Neurospora crassa OR74A: one gene and its partner. The protein of the gene in region 2 interacts with the protein of the main gene of each other region in a pairwise test. Links are inferred from orthologs where the notes say so. Each region holds a gene or a part of one and is shown on either strand. Other genes may lie near its edges.

Region 1 (3,794 bases), about 1.9 Mb from region 2:
ACAGCACAAATCGCCGTACGGCTGGCACCTCTCGCCGCCTCTGTACGCCTCTAGGAAGATGGAGTACAACTTCACCGGACTCGGATCCCAAGCGCAGCGGATTGCCGAATCTCTGGACATTTCTTCTTCGTATGAGAATCACACGGAACACATCCTCTCGCTGGAGAACTCTCCCAAGTCCGGGTCCGACTTGGCGCCCTCACCCGACTCTTCCACCACTATTCTCTCCCCCGCCCTCAAAGAGGAAGACCACCAGATTGAGCAGCGCCGCTACCTAGCTCGCGCGACGATGCAGCTAGCCTTTGAGCACCTCGCCTCGCGCATTGTCATGGTGCTCCAGCAGCAGGCCAAGACGTCGTGCGAGCAGCAAAAGGTCAAGACGCTCGTGGTATCGGGTGGCGTGGCGAGCAACCAGTTTCTGAGGCACGTTCTCCGTCGCGTGTTGGAGGTGCGTGGATTCGGACACATTCGGATTATGGCTCCGCCTGTAAACCTGTGTACGGACAACGCGGCCATGATTGCGTGGACGGGGTCGGAGATGTACAGGGCGGGTTGGGTGAGCAAATTGGATATGTTGCCAATTAAGAAGTGGAGCATGAGTTCGACCGGCGAGCAGGGCGGGATCCTGGGAACGGAAGAGAAACCTTTTTATGTGAGGCGTTGAGCCGCGGCCGTACGGGCAGGATTAACTGGGAGTATCGCGACTGCTAGGTTGAGAAAGAACACATGATGTGTGCATGGGTGATGGGTGTTTGGGGCGCTAGTGTACTTTGCCATCTCTTGTGTATTAACAGTTCATCTGTATGAAAGCAGCAGTCAGAAGCGTAAAATGTATTATTATTATTATTGATATGGATACAGCTCGGTGGAAAGGGGCTATCAAGCGTGCTTTCTAGACTTGGGACGTCAGGGCTTTGATTGCTTCTGATCGATCACCCTTCTTGTACAATGTTTTCACATACGTATAAAGTAGGCATACGGCCTGGTCGAGCTGATTCATTCCAATGTCGCATTGGCTGTAAGAATCTAGAATGCTATGGGGACCCATTCGTTGCTCATATCGTTTCTTCATCATGTGTATGTAGTATGCTGCTGGCCAAGTGCCCCTGCCTCACTGACATCCGTCCATTCAGTCCAGGGCAGTCAAGCCACAATCACTACTTTCTGTCCCTCTTTCAGTCCTCTTCCTCTTTTAAACGCGGGTCGAATCATCCTCATTGAAGTCGCTGGTGACGTTGCTAAACTCGCCCTTCTCCAGCTTGGTCCTCCAGAAGATGGGGTTTGTGTCGTTGAAGCCGTGCTTCTCCCATCCCGACTCCTTGACGTGGTACAAGTTGATGAAGCCACCAGAGTAAGCATCACGATGTGTAGCGGCCAAAATGCTCCTGCTGCCCAGTTCGAGCGCCTCCTCCACCGTCAGGTCGTATCTATACTCGGCATCCAGGACGCCATAGGCAAAAGTCTGACCAGACCCAACGCAGAACAGGTTACCCGCCAGCCGGGTGCCGTCCGAATCGATGTAGTAAAGCGCAGGTCCTTCCTCCTTGGTGACGCCGGCGCACATGGTGCCCATGGACAGGCCCATGCCCTTGTACTGGTACACCAGGTTGGCCAGGATCTTGGAGGCCGCCGCGACGCTGATGCGGCGCTTGTGCCGCAATTCGTGAAGTCGGCACTGCATGCCCAGCCACGCCAGCCAGTACTGGCAGTCGGCGGCGCCGCCCGCCATGGTGCCCAACAAGTCGCTGTTGATCTCGATCACCTTCTTGACTGTTTGCGAGGCGATCCAGTTGCCGGCGGTTGCGCGAGAGTCCGTCGCCACAATGATACCGCCCTGGAACCGGAAGGCGAGTGTGGTCGTGCCGTGGGCGATCTTGATGGGGCACGAAGGGTTGGCGCGGTCGTCGGTTGCGGCGCGGAGCCAGGAGGAGGGCTGTTGTGGGTAAACAAGTTAGCCTATTGTCATATCATCATCATCATCATCATCGTTACTGTTGTCGTCGTCGTTGTGGCTCGTTCATCGACGGGGTCTAGCTAGCTAGCTAGCTAGGATGGGGCAAGCAGGGAGAGAGATGAGGTCGGAGGGGTACTGAGGGAGATGTACTGAGGAGGGGGAGATCAGGCAGACAAGGAAAGACGAACATGAGCTACTGGAGGCATGGCAAACTTGAGAGACAGAGGAGGCTGGGTTTCGCAAAGATCTTGCTGTTCCTCTTCCGAGAAGAGCTCATTCTGCTGGTAAGCCGGACGGCTGTACCTTGCGACAAGCGCATCCATGATGGTCGACTAAGTTGTTTGAAGGGACGAGGATTCGATGTTCGGTATGCGGTTCGGCAGTTCCCAAAGACGGTTCGGGAAGCTATAGATTGTTGCGAGGGGGAGAGACGTTCGGCGGGAGGACGACGGAAGTTGGACAACTGGTTGAGATGATGGTGGTGACGATGTTGAGGTTCGAATGGGCTGTCAGTGGAGGCGTTCGTTCACTGTTGTTAGCCTGGCAAGGTAGCAGCTATGGCGGCGTCAGCGGCAGTGGGTAGCAAGTGAAAGGCGGGCAGTTTGGAGCTCCCTACACGCAGGTGCCCACCAACCAGGCAGCTCCCACGCACGCGTTCACCAGCTTCCAGGTTGGGCGGCGCCGCCAGCTGGCAGCATATCAGGGAGGTATCTTTGTACTTTCTTGGCGGCATCGAATGTCGTTTTGGATGGTATGGTATCGATGTACCTCTAATATCAGCATTTCATAATGAACTACTAGCGAGCCAGGTTACACACCGATGGGACTGCAGTTCGGAATATGCTAGGTTCTGACTGAGCATCTTTGTTAACCACTATGCACAGGATGTACAGTGGCGTTTTCAATTACTATGAGCCACATGTATAACCCTCACTTTCGACCAAGTACCGGTCATAAGAATGCCTCCACCATTTTTTTGCGCCGCCGTGACATGGATAGGAGTATGAATGTTAACATGAGCTGATTTGTAAGATAGGACCAGACACACTCTTTTTTTTTCCTTTTGGTTTCTCCGTCCAACGCCATGGAAATGCATCCGGCGCTCGAACGCCACCCTCAAGTCCTGAGAGCTGAATTCCTAACCATATCGACTTCACTTTTCCGCCTGAGGGCAAGGCGTACTATCCAAGGGTCAAAGAGCAAATGCCGTTGTTCTCCCCTCTGCAGATTTTTGTCTTCCCCCAACACCAGAGCAAAGCCAAGTAAGAATTCCAAAAGCCTGCGGTATAAGCCTCCTCAACCCGTTACCGGAAACCCGAAACCAAGCCGAACCAAGCCTATACGTCAGACATGAAGCAAGACACAACTTGAAAAATGGTATTGATTGTTTGACGATCGATGTGACGAAGACCTAGTGCACCCCTCCCTGCGCCAGGCTCTCCCCCTGCCAACCCTGAACCGGGTGGTTTTGAAAAACAAAATGGTAGGAAGGAGGAATAAAAGAAAAAAGAAAAAAAAAAAAAAAAACCCAAGTACCATTAATGTAACCCTATAACACCATGGCAATGCATGCTTTCGCGTTGTCGTGATCAATGCAACCGGAAGGCCCCTCAAAGACCTTCCGGGGTATATCTGCGGTTGTTGCCGCTTCGAGATAATAATGTAGGCAGGTCGTCGTGGTGGTCGTTGTTGCGGATCCACTTTTGCGTGCCATGCTCTGGCATCAGATGCGATGTTTGGATAGTAGCCCATCGAGCGGAATTATTTTGTGTGATTGTTCTTCAAATTGAAAAAACTTCAGCCGAGTCGAAATCGTTGTGTGTTCAAGTTATTCGCCGTG
Region 2 (3,577 bases):
AGGAGATTAGTTATCTCCACTGCGAGGCCGTCATGAGTGGTGAGCTGAAGCACGGTGTACTGGCTCTTGTCGACGAGAACCTCCCTATCATCATGATCTTGACCCGCGACAAGCTCTTCAGGAAGAGCTTGAACGCCTACCAGCAAGGTACGTTTACCACATTTTCCCAATGACTAAAACCCACAGACAAGATGCTAACGCTAGCCCCTTCAACAGTTGTCGCTAGAAAGGGCAAGCCCGTCGTCATCTGCAACGAGAGCGACGCCGAGTTCCAGACCAGCGATGCCGTCAAGATCGAGATCCCCAAGACCGTCGACTGCCTTCAGGGTATCTTGAACGTCATTCCTCTGCAGTTGATCGCCTATTGGTTGGCCGTTATGGAGGGCCTCAATGTCGACTTCCCCCGAAACCTTGCCAAGTCGGTGACTGTGGAGTAAGGGATAAATGAACGGGGTTGTCGAGCGATCAACTTGTGCATGAAGAGACGTACGAGACAAGGAAGACAGGTCTTCTGTTGATGTGCGGATTTTTGATATACCTATTTGTAATATACATCGTGCTTTGGTCTAGGTGGGCGTGGTGGAGTATTCTTGCTGGCTGGGAAGCACATCAACATCTGACCTGAAAGGAAAGGAAGAAGGAAAAGGCGAAAAGCCAAGGTGCGTCGGAGAGGTTGAAAGTCAAATGCAAATCAAGGGAGTCGGTGGGATGGAACAAATGGATTCCGGGATATTGTGCTCATGGCTTGAAGCGTTACTTGTTACTTGATCTATTCGTCACATTCAGGGACGATGTGATGGACTGTGATTAAGGAGTTTAGCTAGTAACAGTAATGATATTACTATCTTGCTAATGTACTTGCGAAAGGAGTTGAATCCGTTTCTGCTCATGAAGACACGCGTGTTGCACAGTTTAAGGGAAGAAAGTTGACCGTAGTGGGAGCCGGATAGACAAGCCAATGCCATGTTGTGATAGCGTGTCAATTCCCATACTCCGGAATAGCAAACGGACACGATGTCTTCGGCGTATGACCCTCTATTCGTTTGAGTTCATGATGTTCCCCTAGGTCTCATTATCCTACCCTCATTCTACACGGTGCTATCTATAGACCACCTCAAACAGTCTGAGTACCATATCCCTTGATCCGCTCAGCAAAAGCCCAGCTCTGCTTCTCCAGCTGCTCATCCTCCTTCAGCTCGACGCCATCCTTCGTCACAACCGCAATGCTGTACCGATCCAAGCTCCTCGCGTCGCGATAATACAGCACCTTCATGCACTCCTTGATAACCTCAACGGCTTGCTCGCGCGTCAACTTGGCCGCATCCTCCTCCGTCTCCGCATACCGACGCATGATGGGCTGCGCCAGCGCGCTTCCGAAACCCGTCGCCAGGGATGGAGAAGTGAAAGAAGTGCCGCGCAGGTCAACGCTGGCCAGGTAGGGCTTGGAGTGGCCGTCGAAACCGGCGATCAGAAGCTGGTTCCAAAGCGGGTCGAAATCGTTGCGCCGCTTGTAGAGGAGTTTTTGCAGATACTTGTGCAGGTTGGCGGCGTTGAGGTGACCCTTGCCGTTGGGAGCAGCAGTGCACGAGGGGTCCTCGTACGCTTCATCGATGGAGAGGTCCGTCAGGTGCCGGTCGAGGAATTGCATGTCGGATACGTCGCCGGAAAAGCCGACGACGGAGGAGTCGAGGAAGACGCGGAGGCGCTTGACGTCGGGGAAGCGGGCTAGGGAGCCATAGGAGGCTGTTTTCCAGAACAAGTCAGCACGGGGTGATATGGGATGGGTGTCATTTGATTTTTTTTCGGAGCATACCAAGGTTATCCGCGGCCATAACTACACCGTCCTTGTACTTCATTGCAATGACGGAGGTACCCGTCACGATGGGTGCTTGTGTCGCCTGCTTCGGGCCGCTGTTCTGGAGGTAGGAATGGTCATAGGCGCCGTAGACATCGTCTCTGGGCTGCAGGTGCCGTGAAGCAGTATGTTAGTTCCATGCCATTCATGTTCGGTCGAGATATGTATAAGCGCTGCTGCGACAGCGGGCGGAGGGGGTTGAGGACGTACACGACCCCAAGCTTGCGGGCGGTGATCCATGGTCAACTAGAGTTGGGAATCGAGAATGATCTGAATGCGGGGTATCGTTTCGTAAACAAGAGACGTCGACGAAATAGTAGAAGTCGGTCGCTGTTCGTGAATGTATAGCGCTCGCTGAGAAAGTGTTATCGTTGGTTGTTGAATATGGACAAGATAGGTATCGATAGAATGGTTCGTTTCGTTTGGGATGATGGTGTTGACGTGGGGAGCTTCCGCCTGGTTGGCTTGACGTTACGGCTGGAGGAGCTGGCAGTGGCAGGCTGCGCCATCCAGTAAGCTCCATCCCCTGCCCCCGCCTGCAGCTTCGCGTCCAGGTGCTGCCTTCACTCCCGCTGTCCACTGTTGGGCTTGGCTTGGCGTCACTGCCTCCAGTCCGCTTCCATGCAAACAGTGGAGTCTTGGCTCAGAGGGTAGTGTACAGTAGTGTAGAGGTAGGCGTGGGTCCGAGCGTCTTGAATGTTTTGAACTTGGGTCCAGGCTTGGCCTTGAGCCTCCTATCAGCACGTGACACCCTTCATCTCGAACCTAATGACCACTCTCTGTACTCATCAAAAACGGCGCCCTTTTGATTCCTAGGGCTTCTTACATCCATTGATCTGGATTTTCCATGTTAACATTAAATCAAGCACAATAATGGGGCTTGTAGCGTACGACAGCAGTGACGAGGATGAGGATGTCCAAGTTGACACCCCAACTGTGGTAAGAATATGGATAGCTCTTAGCATACAAATCATGTGTTGTTCACCAGCTGACAAGGTTTCATAGCCACATAACACCAAGAACGACATATCTTCACATGCATCACGAAGCAATGCCGGTACGGCCCCTCATGCTCAAGTCAATTTTCGCGTTATAAGCCCGACAACTAAATGAGATGTCCCTTTGCCAGTCGCGGACCCATCCACAGTAACGAGATCATCACCAACGAGTACAAACGGTCACAACGAGATATCAGCGCCACAGCAACGACAACGACAACCAGCCCCCTCGCCATCAACACCCGTAGGCCCTGTACTCGGGCCAGCTCTCGGCCCCTCAATGCCCCCTCCTACGGGAGTCGCCTCATCCAACACCCTCCTCCCCGAGCCCGACTCCGACATCGACATGTCTTTCCTCAACGACCCTTCCACTTCCTCCACCGCCTTAGCATCTGGACCTTCAGCAGAACCCCCCAAATCCCCTTACACCACAACCCGCACCTTGCTTCGGGACCTCACCCTCCCCGCCCTGCCAAACATGGACATCCCGGCCTCCCCTCCCCTTTCACCTTCTGATATCTCTTCGGTGGAACGGTTGTCCGCTTTAACCAGCAAATTCGACAAGTTCCTGGAACTGAAGCGCAACAAAGGACAGCATTTCAACTCGCGCATCGCGCAGAGCGCTGCTACAAAGAATCCGGGATTGATGGATAAGTTGATGAGGTTCGTGGGGGTTGAGACGGAGGTTTGGTTTGATGATGATGATGATGATGATCACAACGAT

Evidence for each region.
Region 1: the proteins of pcb-7 (region 2) and pcb-5 interact in binary tests that used the Saccharomyces cerevisiae proteins (3 or more experiments, as listed by UniProt). The link is inferred for Neurospora crassa OR74A from reciprocal best matches to the Saccharomyces cerevisiae genes PRE4 and PRE2.

Annotation. Positions count from the first base shown.
Region 1 is NC_026501.1:4,303,358-4,307,151, reverse strand, and holds pcb-5 (proteasome component PRE2), read right to left. Parts: upstream 2,521-3,794; 5' UTR 2,278-2,520; coding exon 2,143-2,277; intron 1,934-2,142; coding exon 1,193-1,933; 3' UTR 817-1,192; downstream 1-816. Other genes in the region: NCU09308 (glycoprotease), read left to right, coding at 1-664.
Region 2 is NC_026501.1:6,208,099-6,211,675, forward strand, and holds pcb-7 (20S proteasome subunit), read right to left. Parts: upstream 2,327-3,577; 5' UTR 2,096-2,326; coding exon 2,066-2,095; intron 1,962-2,065; coding exon 1,814-1,961; intron 1,744-1,813; coding exon 1,115-1,743; 3' UTR 818-1,114; downstream 1-817. Other genes in the region: gfa1 (glucosamine-fructose-6-phosphate aminotransferase), read left to right, coding at 1-147, 217-437; NCU07364 (hypothetical protein), read left to right, coding at 2,729-2,794, 2,861-2,912, 2,985-3,577. UniProt on the Saccharomyces cerevisiae protein: Non-catalytic component of the proteasome which degrades poly-ubiquitinated proteins in the cytoplasm and in the nucleus. It is essential for the regulated turnover of proteins and for the removal of misfolded proteins.